Drosophila melanogaster: one gene and its partner. The main gene of each other region encodes a partner of the protein of the gene in region 2 in a complex. Each region holds a gene or a part of one and is shown on either strand. Other genes may lie near its edges.

The links. The genes of interacting proteins can lie anywhere in the genome.
Region 1: eIF3i (region 2) and eIF3f2 share a complex: the UniProt entries of both Drosophila melanogaster proteins name them as parts of the eukaryotic translation initiation factor 3 (eIF-3) complex.

Annotation. Positions count from the first base shown.
Region 1 is NT_033778.4:6,198,349-6,203,364, forward strand, and holds eIF3f2 (eukaryotic translation initiation factor 3 subunit f2), read left to right. Parts: upstream 1-2,504; 5' UTR 2,505-2,568; coding exon 2,569-2,673; intron 2,674-2,729; coding exon 2,730-3,485; 3' UTR 3,486-3,608; downstream 3,609-5,016. Other genes in the region: CG30431 (uncharacterized protein), read left to right, coding at 4,599-5,016. UniProt on the Drosophila melanogaster protein: Component of the eukaryotic translation initiation factor 3 (eIF-3) complex, which is involved in protein synthesis of a specialized repertoire of mRNAs and, together with other initiation factors, stimulates binding of mRNA and methionyl-tRNAi to the 40S ribosome.
Region 2 is NT_033779.5:4,964,666-4,970,192, reverse strand, and holds eIF3i (eukaryotic translation initiation factor 3 subunit i), read left to right. Parts: upstream 1-2,417; 5' UTR 2,418-2,499; coding exon 2,500-2,502; intron 2,503-2,679; coding exon 2,680-3,169; intron 3,170-3,224; coding exon 3,225-3,712; 3' UTR 3,713-3,826; downstream 3,827-5,527. Other genes in the region: Polr1C (RNA polymerase I and III subunit C), read right to left, coding at 47-908, 969-1,108; Scox (synthesis of cytochrome c oxidase), read left to right, coding at 1,368-1,761, 1,825-2,186; CG34125 (uncharacterized protein), read right to left, coding at 3,919-4,311, 4,371-4,457; CG34124 (uncharacterized protein), read right to left, coding at 4,918-5,505. UniProt on the Drosophila melanogaster protein: Component of the eukaryotic translation initiation factor 3 (eIF-3) complex, which is involved in protein synthesis of a specialized repertoire of mRNAs and, together with other initiation factors, stimulates binding of mRNA and methionyl-tRNAi to the 40S ribosome.

The sequences.
Region 1 (5,016 bases), on a different chromosome or scaffold from region 2:
TATATATCTTCGTGATCTTCGGCTCTTGTCGAACGCTAGTTTGTTAATTCAAGTTGCCAAACCCAATCTTGCGCTGCGACTCTGTCTCTAGAATCTGTATGGTGAATTTTAACCTCCTAGCTTTTATAGTTCCTGAGATCTGCACATTTATACGGACAGACGGACATGGCCAGATCGACTCGGCTATTGATCTCGATCAAGAATATATATACTTCATATGGTCGGAAACGCTTCCTTCTGCCTGTTACATACTTTTCAAAGAATTTAGTATACCCTTTTACTCTACGAATAACGAGTATAATAATGAAATTTTGCGTTCGCATTTCTACCATCTGTGTAGCGGGTATCTGATAGTCGGGGAAGTCGACTGTAGCAGTCTACCTTTTTTTTTAATATTGTTAAATAGATATTGATAGATACTTATATATAACTTTATCTTCACTACGGCCGGACAAAGTTCATTGGTTTAACAGCACGTACCTTCCCATAATCCATTTATGTTTTCAAATAATTAATTTTAGAAAAATAATTAACTTTTCAGAACTGGTTACTTCAATCGAGTTATTTAATCCACACGCAATGATATGTCGAACGTGACATGTTGGACGTGACAATATTATTTCCATGTATAATGATTCGAGGAAAAGATTCAGACGCTGCAAAAAGTTAATATTCCTGTTTTAAAACCAACAATTTTTGAATTTCTTAATATTTACATGGCAACTAAAGTAATATATAATTTTTAAGAATCGCAGTAAAAGAAAATAATAAAATGTACTTTTAGTATTGTGTGTTTCTTTTATAGTAGATTTATAATCGAAGAGATCGATGGGAAATTTAAAAAAATTACAAAAAATTATATAAATTATTTTAAGTTTTTAGATATCAATCTTACGTCCCATTACTTTATTATTATATCACATTTTGCAACAATTGTTTGACACAAGAGTATGTAACAATGTTAATTCGTTAGATTAAATGTTCATTCAAACTCTTTAATAATAAGGCTTAACTCGGACTCCAAAGCTGTTAATGGTACTAATTTTTATATTTTCCAAAAAGAATATAAAACTATCGCCTTACTAGGTGTACTTTTTCTTAGCGTTACACTTGTCGCTTTCGGAAATAATTTGGAGGCATCTTGATGGAGGTTCAAGTTCACACTTAATTTGTGATTTGTGCTCACGGTCTGCATTCATTAAATCTCTGCTTATGTTTAACATGGTTGCCATTTAAGGAATTTACATTTTTAGTACTTAATAAATAAATTAACATTCTTATCCAGCCCATTTTGCATTTACATTAACCACATATGATTAATTAAAGCTTATGAAATCCGTATAAAAATTTAAATCAACGATTTTTAAGAATAAACTTAAATTTACGTTTTAGAGTAACATAATTTTAGTGGTGTTGTTAGAATCTGCATGCTTAATGCACTCCCTAGATAAGTTCCCGAGATCTCTACATTCATTTAGATAGGCAGACAGATGCACGGTAGGAGGATTTACTTTACAAGACGGGATACGCTTCCTCCTACCTGACACATCCTTTTCTAGCAATCTATCTAGTTTACCCTTATGCTTTACGACCGACAGGTATAAGATGGAAATTGCCGAGGATTGAATAAAATATTCCGTTATCGAGCTAAAACCGTTTTAAGAAGCGGGAGTTTTACAATCGATTCTTCTTGCTTCAAACAAGACCTGCGTGTAAGATCTACGCCGTAGATGGCCGATTTTTATAATGCAATATGTTGGGCTTATAGCAATATGCATATTTGGTTATTCATCGATGAATTTACTTTGCAGGGAATAGTTTTTAAATTAAAAGTCTTGTACATTTTCTAATAAAATATACACTCGACATAAAAGAAGAATTATCACGAATTTGGGTAACAATATTCATTGACGGCTATATAAATATATTTTTTTAAAATATTAAAAATATATAAATTAGTTCCCATGCAAAATGGCCTCATTGGTTTTGCTATGTAAACGTTTTACCAGTCTGATTTGTTTACCACCTTAACTGAGTTTTTAATATAGGGCGCCAATTGAAATTTGTATGAGTATGAAATTAAAGTCATTATGCCGTATGCGAAATATGGGAGGAGCAAGGAACACTGCCATTGATACTTGGTGAGATTCCCATTTCACAAGGTATTGATACACGAAATACCCATGGCTATCCGTAACAAACTCATGCACGTAAATTAAGAGTCGTTTTAACAGACATTTACTAAATTTTAAACTATATACATATATGGTAAAAAGGCAGAATGTTTTTAATTTTTGTTATTATGTTCTTATAGCATACACAACTGTAAAATAATGTATGATGCTTAATTTAAAATTATTTTAAGCTTGTTTTTTCTGTTTACCATTTCAAAATGTTTCTAAATAGGCAAGTTTCTAAATAGCAAGGCAACGAAATAGGTGAGCACATTTTGGCACGTGCCCTTTTAAGTTATATTTACATTTTACAACACTGGATCGAGGGGAGGCACAAGCGCAGCCAAGTTTGCTTTGCTAAGTTTCTTTTCCAACTTAATTTTTTTTGTAACTCATGATGTCTAGGAATTTTAGCATGCGAGCTAAGGTGTATCTAAAGCCGTTGGTGTTTTTCCAAATTATTGACGCATACGATCGCCGACCAAAAGGTGACAATCAGGTAGGTGTGCGCGCATTCATCTCCTGTCCACTAATCTTGTAATGATCAAACCAAAGGTTATGGGCACTTTGCTGGGTCGCAACAAGGAGGGCCACATCGAGATCACAAACTGTTTTACTGTGCCGCACAAGGAGCATTCGGAGAACAAACGCATTGATCTGGATATGGCATATGCCTCCGAGGTCCTAGAGCTAAATATGTTCGCCTATCCGAACGAGCGTGTGCTGGGCTGGTTCTGCACTGGGAAATCGGTGTCCCGCTCCGCGTCCCTGATCCACGACTATTATGTCAGAGAATGCTGCGAAGGACAGCCACTGCACCTGCTAGTGGATGCAGCCCTGAAGAACCAGCGACTCTCGACCCGACTGTACTGTGCTGTGGAGATGGGAGTGCCTGGTGGCACCAAAGGACTGATGTTCTCATTAGTTCCACTGGAGATTAGCAACGAAAATTCCGATTTGGTGGCTCTGCGTTGCATAGAAAAGCAATCGCAGCAACAGGCAAGCAAGCAAATGGAGCGCTTCGTCCCAGAGTTGGCTCAAGTGGTGGATGCCACTAGGGATATGCAACATCGCCTTGACTTGGTGCTGCGCTACATCAACGATGTCTTGGCCAGGAAGAAAAAACCTGACAACGTAGTCGGGAGATCCCTTTACGCCGCTCTCACTGCCGTGCCGCTTTTGGACTCGGACAAATTTCGCGTCATGTTTAATACTAACTTGAGGGATATGCTCATGGCCATCACTCTTTCCACAATGATAAAAACACAGCTGGAGATCAGCGAGAAACTGTCTTGCATGCAGGATCAGTGAACAATGACAAAAAACTGACTGAATTGACTGAATCAATCACTTAATTGTTATTTTGGGTGCCTTTTGCTATTTACACCACCTAATAAATTGAACTTTCATTAAAAGGAGGATGTAGGTCACACTAAAGCAAGCCTTCGGTAGAAATTATTAAATTAGTATCGGCTCCTGAACTTTGGAGTCTAGAAACATCGCATCCAGCGATTAAGATCATTATAAGCTCGTGCCGAAAACAAATGATTTTCGTTAAGGCTTCCCCCGTTCTACACAGTTGCGTTGCCCGAAAACCTTATAGGCAACGCTTGATCGGCATTCTTTTCCAGCATCCCGATCTTAGTCCCTTTGGTAAGTGATTTTCAGAGAAAGCGAGTCATTTCGCCAACTCCTTTGGCCGTTTAAGCACCAAAAAGTTTGCGGTAAATACAACAACAGTGCTGGGAAACCCGCGGCGGAATGATGATCTCTACGGACGGTGATAAGGTCCAGTACAGATCTATTTCGGTCTGTTCAAATCTCGACGAAGAGGGCACGGCGGAGGATGGTAGTGGAAAGGTGGTGGGGGTGTCGGGGATGTGGACCACCCAAATAATGCCGAGATAATAACGCCTTATCGCGGTTCAGGGACAGTCGGCGGATGTCCACCGGGGCAATCAATTAGCTGGAACGAACTGAAAATTAGCAAACGTTGACGTTGACCGTCGATAGTAGCCCTACGACACCCCTCTCCTCAGACGAATCTCCCGTTGTCTCTCTGCGCCCCCACCCCTCAGACGAACCGACGCCTCCGCCGCCTCTGACTTATCGCTCAAGCCAAGGGCTATCGGTGTGCCCCGGTCGCCTTTCCTGATAGACATCGCTGCTCTGAGGAGTGGATTAGATGCGGATCCACACCCTCAGACGTCCAGCGACCGGCGATCCGAGCAGACGCACGAAGTATTAAGCCTGTGGTAAAACCGTAATGAGATCCGATTTCAAAATGAAAACCCAAGTAGACTGAGCTAAGACTACAACGCAAGGAAAACAACTATGCCAATCGTCCGTATAGATCGGGGCTTCCTTGATTGAACTCACAGTGTAAACCGCGATCGTCCGTCCGGATTTCGGCAACTAAGTATTATGCTCTCGCTGCTGCCGCACCACCCGCTCGTCTGCCGCTGCTGCCTGCTGGAGCAGCCGCCGCTCTACCACAGTCTCTATGACGCCTCTAGCCAGCTGGCGGTGGAGCTGAAGGCCCTGGCTCCCGCCCTGCGCCTTGAGCACGGCGACAACCTCACCGATGTGATATGCGACCTGTGCCTTCGTCGCCTGCACGACGCCCGCGACTTCCAGCGGCGGTGCGAGCACTCCGAACAGGTGCTACGCATGCGGCACGAGCACTGGAAGCACACGGTGGCCGTGGGAGACGCCTTGGCCCTGGACGATGTGCTTGAGTGCCTGGAGCGAGAAGTGGGCAGCCTGGAGGGACCGATGTCTGTGCCTCTGCAAGCAAGTAAGCCGGTGGCCCATGTGGCGCCCTTAATGGAGACCGTTGATT
Region 2 (5,527 bases):
CTGTCTTATGTACATAATATAATTTCTTTAACAACTAAATAAATAACTATTCTGCCTCAATTTCGTCAATTAGCGCCCGGCACTTTCTCTTCAATACCTTGACCGCCTCCAGGAAGATGACATCGGGCTTCAGTGCGCCGACTGATTCCACGGAGAAAATGTAGTGATCTCGGATACGGGCCAAAGTCACAGCGTCGTTTAGCTGGGGATAGCGATACACATTTCGGCTGCACGTGTCGTAGCGTGCATCCTTTACATAGGCAGTTTCATTCTCGTCAATGCCAATTACTCCTGGTGAGAAACAGTTCTGTAATAGGTACGCATCCTTACCGGTCACCTCGCGGTTCAGCTTAATCATGGGCAGCAGTCGGTAGGTGGCCGTGGCCACCGGCGAGAATTTCGCGTGATCCCGTCCAAGTCCCTTAACCGCCACCAGGCGCAGATCCAACTCGTGACCCGGACGCAATTGGGCAATCAGTATGTCATCGTGAATGCAGTTCACAGCACTCTCGCTGTATATCTGCGCCTGCTTTCCTTTGGGCAGCCACTTCAGATGACCCGAGTACACTTTGTGGTTTTTGTAAATGTCATCGAAGTTGGACTGATCTTTTCCAGCATCCCGTCGCCGCGAGCACTTCACCTTCAGCTCAAATTCAAGCGTATCCTGCTCGGTCCCCGCCTCAGTGCTTTCCTCGGTGCGGTATGCGAATAGACGGGGATCAGCCCGCAACGGAAGTAGACCCATTCGATGGGCAAGTACCTCGTCCTGGATGATCGAGGTGTTGTTGTATATGTACACCTTTTCGATGGCCATGCTGGGCACATCGCTGAGCATCAGGCGACGGAAGGCATTTGCAATGGCGGGATACACGCCAATCAGATCGAACTCCAGGCCGTCTTCGTCGTTTCTAGAAGTGAACACCAATTGTTAATCGACTCGTAAGATTCTAATTTCTATTGAGATTTACCTGACGATTTTGATGTGCAGCTTTTCCTTGAAAGCCTGAACGGAAAATACATCGTCCGCCAGTCCATAGTCCTGCGGATCCTGCTTCACCCGATACTCCTCCATGTACAGAAGCGGCTCCTTGCGATTTTTGCTTGCCATTTGCCCCGGTGTTTTTATTAAATAATTTAACAAAATTGAACCGCACGTGTTGGAATCAATAAGACCGCCTTCTAATACCAAAATATACCAAACTAACTAACAAACTAACTAATATACTAAATAAATATACTTTATGTACTAAATAAATGCTGTTTCGCCGTGACTGGCTGAATAGGAAGAAGCAGCAGGACACCGGCGATATTTTTATTTCTCCAGAAGATTTACGTAAAGCCTTCAAATTTCTGAAACCGGGCGTAAGATGTCCCGCTCCCTGCAACGCTTAGTGGGCAGCTGTCGTCGCTGGGCACAACAGCCCGCAATTCGTCATTATGCCGCTCCCGCAGATTCCACTAAAGGCAAGGGTCCGATCTCTTGGAGAAGTCTGGCCGTCATTGGAGCCCTTGGAGCCGGAGGAGTGGGCTTCATGCTGTACGTGAAGAGCGAGAAGGATGAGGCGAGAATGAAGGAGCGTCAGCGGCAATTGGGAAAAGCAGCCATCGGCGGCAGTTGGGAATTAGTTGATTCGCAGGGAGCTGTTCGCAAATCGGAGGACTTCTTAGGCAAGTGGCTGCTCATCTATTTTGGCTTCACCCACTGCCCGGATATTTGTCCCGATGAGCTAGAGAAGATGGCCGCCGTCGTCGATGAAGTTGGTAAGTAGAGCCTGACTATTTCTTCCAAACCCAAAAAAAACCATGTTTCTCAAACCTTCACAGAAAAGTCCCCGCAAACGCCAGCAGTGCAGCCCATCTTTATCACCGTTGACCCAGAACGTGACTCCAAAGAGGTGGTGGCCAAATACGTAAAAGAGTTCTCCCCCAAACTGCTGGGACTCACGGGAACCGTCGAACAAATCCGCAAAGTGTGCAAGGCCTTCAGGGTTTATTTCAGCGCTGGACCGCGGGACGAGGACAACGATTATATTGTGGATCACACCATCATCATGTACCTGGTCAATCCCGATGGCGAGTTTGTCGATTACTACGGCCAAAATCGGGACAAGGACCAGTGTGTGGCATCCATTTTGGTGAACATAGCCAAGTGGAATTCAATGAACAAAAAGGGATGGTTCAGCTAGGCTGGCTAAGCTAGGCAAATGTTGTTTCGTTGTATTTACTTAATGTATGGCATAAAATATGGTTTTTACTTGATGTATATCAAGTTTTAAATCCAAATTTTCGTTTATATTGGCTATACCTTAAGTTCTAGATTGTAAAAATTTCTGGTTGTTCAAAATAAACTTGATTAACGGTATTTTTTAGATCCCCCTGGTATATCGAAGTGAGATTTTGACTAGGCCACGGTCACACTGCTCTTTTGGCGTGTAGTGCTGCGTGGATGTTGTTGCAAAAATATTCGTTTTCTCGCAACAAATAACAATATAATACAAAATGGTGCGTGCCTGGTCAATGACTACACAGTTTGCATTATTCCGGATGGGTTTCTTTAGAATTTACCCGAAATTACAACTATTTGCAAAGTGTGAAAGTCGTGTGAAATTCCGGACCAAACATAACCTTAAAAGCGGCCTAAATTGTTGCTAAAAATTCGTATTATTCTGTCTTTTATAGCGTCCGTTGATGCTTCAGGGCCACGAGCGTTCCATAACGCAAATCAAGTACAACCGCGAGGGCGACCTGCTCTTCTCCTGCTCCAAGGATCAGAAGCCCAATGTGTGGTACTCGCTGAACGGAGAACGTTTGGGCACCTACGATGGTCACCAGGGTGCGGTCTGGTGCCTGGATGTGGACTGGGAGAGCCGTAAGCTCATCACCGGCGCCGGTGATATGACCGCTAAGATCTGGGACGTCGAGTACGGCACCGTTATCGCCTCCATTCCGACCAAGTCATCGGTGCGCACCAGCAACTTCAGCTTCTCGGGCAACCAGGCAGCCTACTCAACGGACAAAGCGATGGGACAGAGCTGTGAACTGTTCCTCATCGATGTCCGCAACGCCGATTCCTCGTTGTCGGAGCAGGAGCCCACACTCCGCATCCCGATGACCGAGTCCAAAATTACGTCGATGTTGTGGGGTCCTCTGGATGAGACCATCATCACAGGTTGGTGTTTACCCGATAATCTATTATGAAAACCGTTTAAAACCCGTATTTCCAGGTCACGATAATGGCAACATTGCCATCTGGGACATCCGTAAGGGTCAAAAGGTGGTTGACTCTGGCACGGATCACAGCGCTGGCATCAACGACATGCAGTTGAGCAAGGATGGCACCATGTTTGTGACCGCCTCCAAGGACACCACCGCCAAATTGTTCGATTCGGAGTCCCTGATGTGCCTCAAGACCTACAAAACGGAGCGTCCAGTAAACTCGGCGGCCATCAGCCCAATCATGGATCATGTCGTGCTGGGCGGCGGTCAAGATGCCATGGAGGTGACCACTACGTCTACGAAGGCTGGCAAGTTTGACTCGCGCTTCTTCCACCTGATATACGAGGAGGAGTTCGCCCGACTCAAGGGCCATTTCGGACCCATCAACAGTTTGGCCTTCCATCCGGACGGCAAGAGTTACGCCTCGGGCGGAGAAGATGGTTTCGTGCGTGTCCAGACATTCGATAGTACATACTTTGAGAACATCTTCGAGTAGTTTGTATCCAGTAGTGATTTAGTAGGATCAGAGCCGGTGGACTTAACATAACCATTTCACCGGCGACATGTTCGTTTGCTTAGGGAACTTTCAAATATACGCGAGGACGAAACGAAACGGATCGCGTCGTTTATTTTTATAACATCAAAGGAGTGGAAAGAGGTACAACATGATTATATTCGAGTAAATGGTGTGCCATGTGTAACCTAAAAAAAGGAACGCTTTTTTTGCTTGAGAACCACAGGCTGACCCTGCATGGCCGCCCACTGAGCCGGTGTGGGCAGGCAGCCCGGCGGAGGAGGCGGAATGACGACATTTCCGTTGGAATTTGTCCTCACCTCGGCCCGTGAGTCCAAGTGGAGGACCTGTGCTGCAGCTGCTCCTGCCGACGTACTGGGACCAGCAAGTCCGAAGCCACTGCCATGTGTCATACCGTAGTTGGGCTGCCCGCTGAAGGGCATCTGCTGTTGCTGGTGGCTGATCATGCCGTAATACTGATTCTGGCTGGGCGGAGCACCTCCTCCTTGTGGATAGCCATAGGCACCAGCACCGGTGCCGCCGTTTCGCTGGCTTTCTTCATACGTTGGCGGAGGAGCTCGCTAGAAGTCGCAAAACTTTAGATGGCGACTGGTATTTGATAATCAAATTAACTTATTACCATGGCCATGTCATCGCCGGAATGGCGATAGTCGTAAGCGGGAGCACTTCCCTCGCTTGGTGGACCTGCTTTTGATGGCTTCGACATCTTATCTCGTCTGTAATTTGAAGTTGCACTTTGTTTACTTGCAGTTTCTCTGAGTCACAAACAGGGTTGTCAGCTCATCGAGATTAGTGATGTCGTAAAGTTTTCCCGTCAGATCTGGATTTATTCGAAATTTATTTTCTGCACGCGAATTGCTATTTTATTTCTTTGGCGTTTTAAAATAAATAAAAAATGGGAATAATATGTCCCTCACAATTTATTAGTAAATTTTTGAGTTGTGCTATTAGGACGCCAGTTATTGAAACACACGCTTTTACAAATAATTCAAAATCAGATTTAAAGATGTTCTATGGTAAAATATACATGTTTGGGTCACCTTTTTCGAAATTCAAAGTGAAGTCTACAAAAAAATATGTATTGAGTTACTTTTTGTAAATCGATGTTGTCAAGTTCCAAAAATAATTAATTTTTGAATTTCTACCAAAGTATTTGATATGGATGTCTAGAAAGGAAGCCCACTGCTGGTTCCTGGCTTTTTCGTGGCGATCCTCACCGACATGGGCGACTCGCAACTGGGCTGCTTATATTGCCGCCTTTTTATCAGGTCTCTTTGAATGGAGCTTCCCAGGCTGCGAATGGGCACCGCTGTAATCCCATCGATCAGATTCTCCCGGGCGTGCTGGAGCGTGCTATCGATCAGCTGCTCCACGGCTATGGCTCGAGGATCCACCATCGGTTCACGCTCCAGCACGTCCACAATCATGCGCAGGGTCTCGTCCGCCTGGAACTCCTCCAGCGGCAGCACCTCAATCAGCTCTTTGAACATGTGAGCGACGATGAAGTGGGTGCGGTTCACAACCTCGGAGTCGCCCATATGGACATGAGCGCACAGCGAGTCCTTGGCGTGATCGAAAATTCCGGATATCAGCTCCTCGGTGTTCACATCAGAGCGTTCGTAGTCGAACACAGCCACCACCTCGTTGAATAGCTTGCGAAGCTCCTCGTTGCTGATGTGGATGAAGTACTTCTTCGGCACAAACGTCTGCAGATGCTCCGTTATGCACTCGGCTATGCGATCCGTGTACCGACCCTAAAATATAACCTTTGGTAAG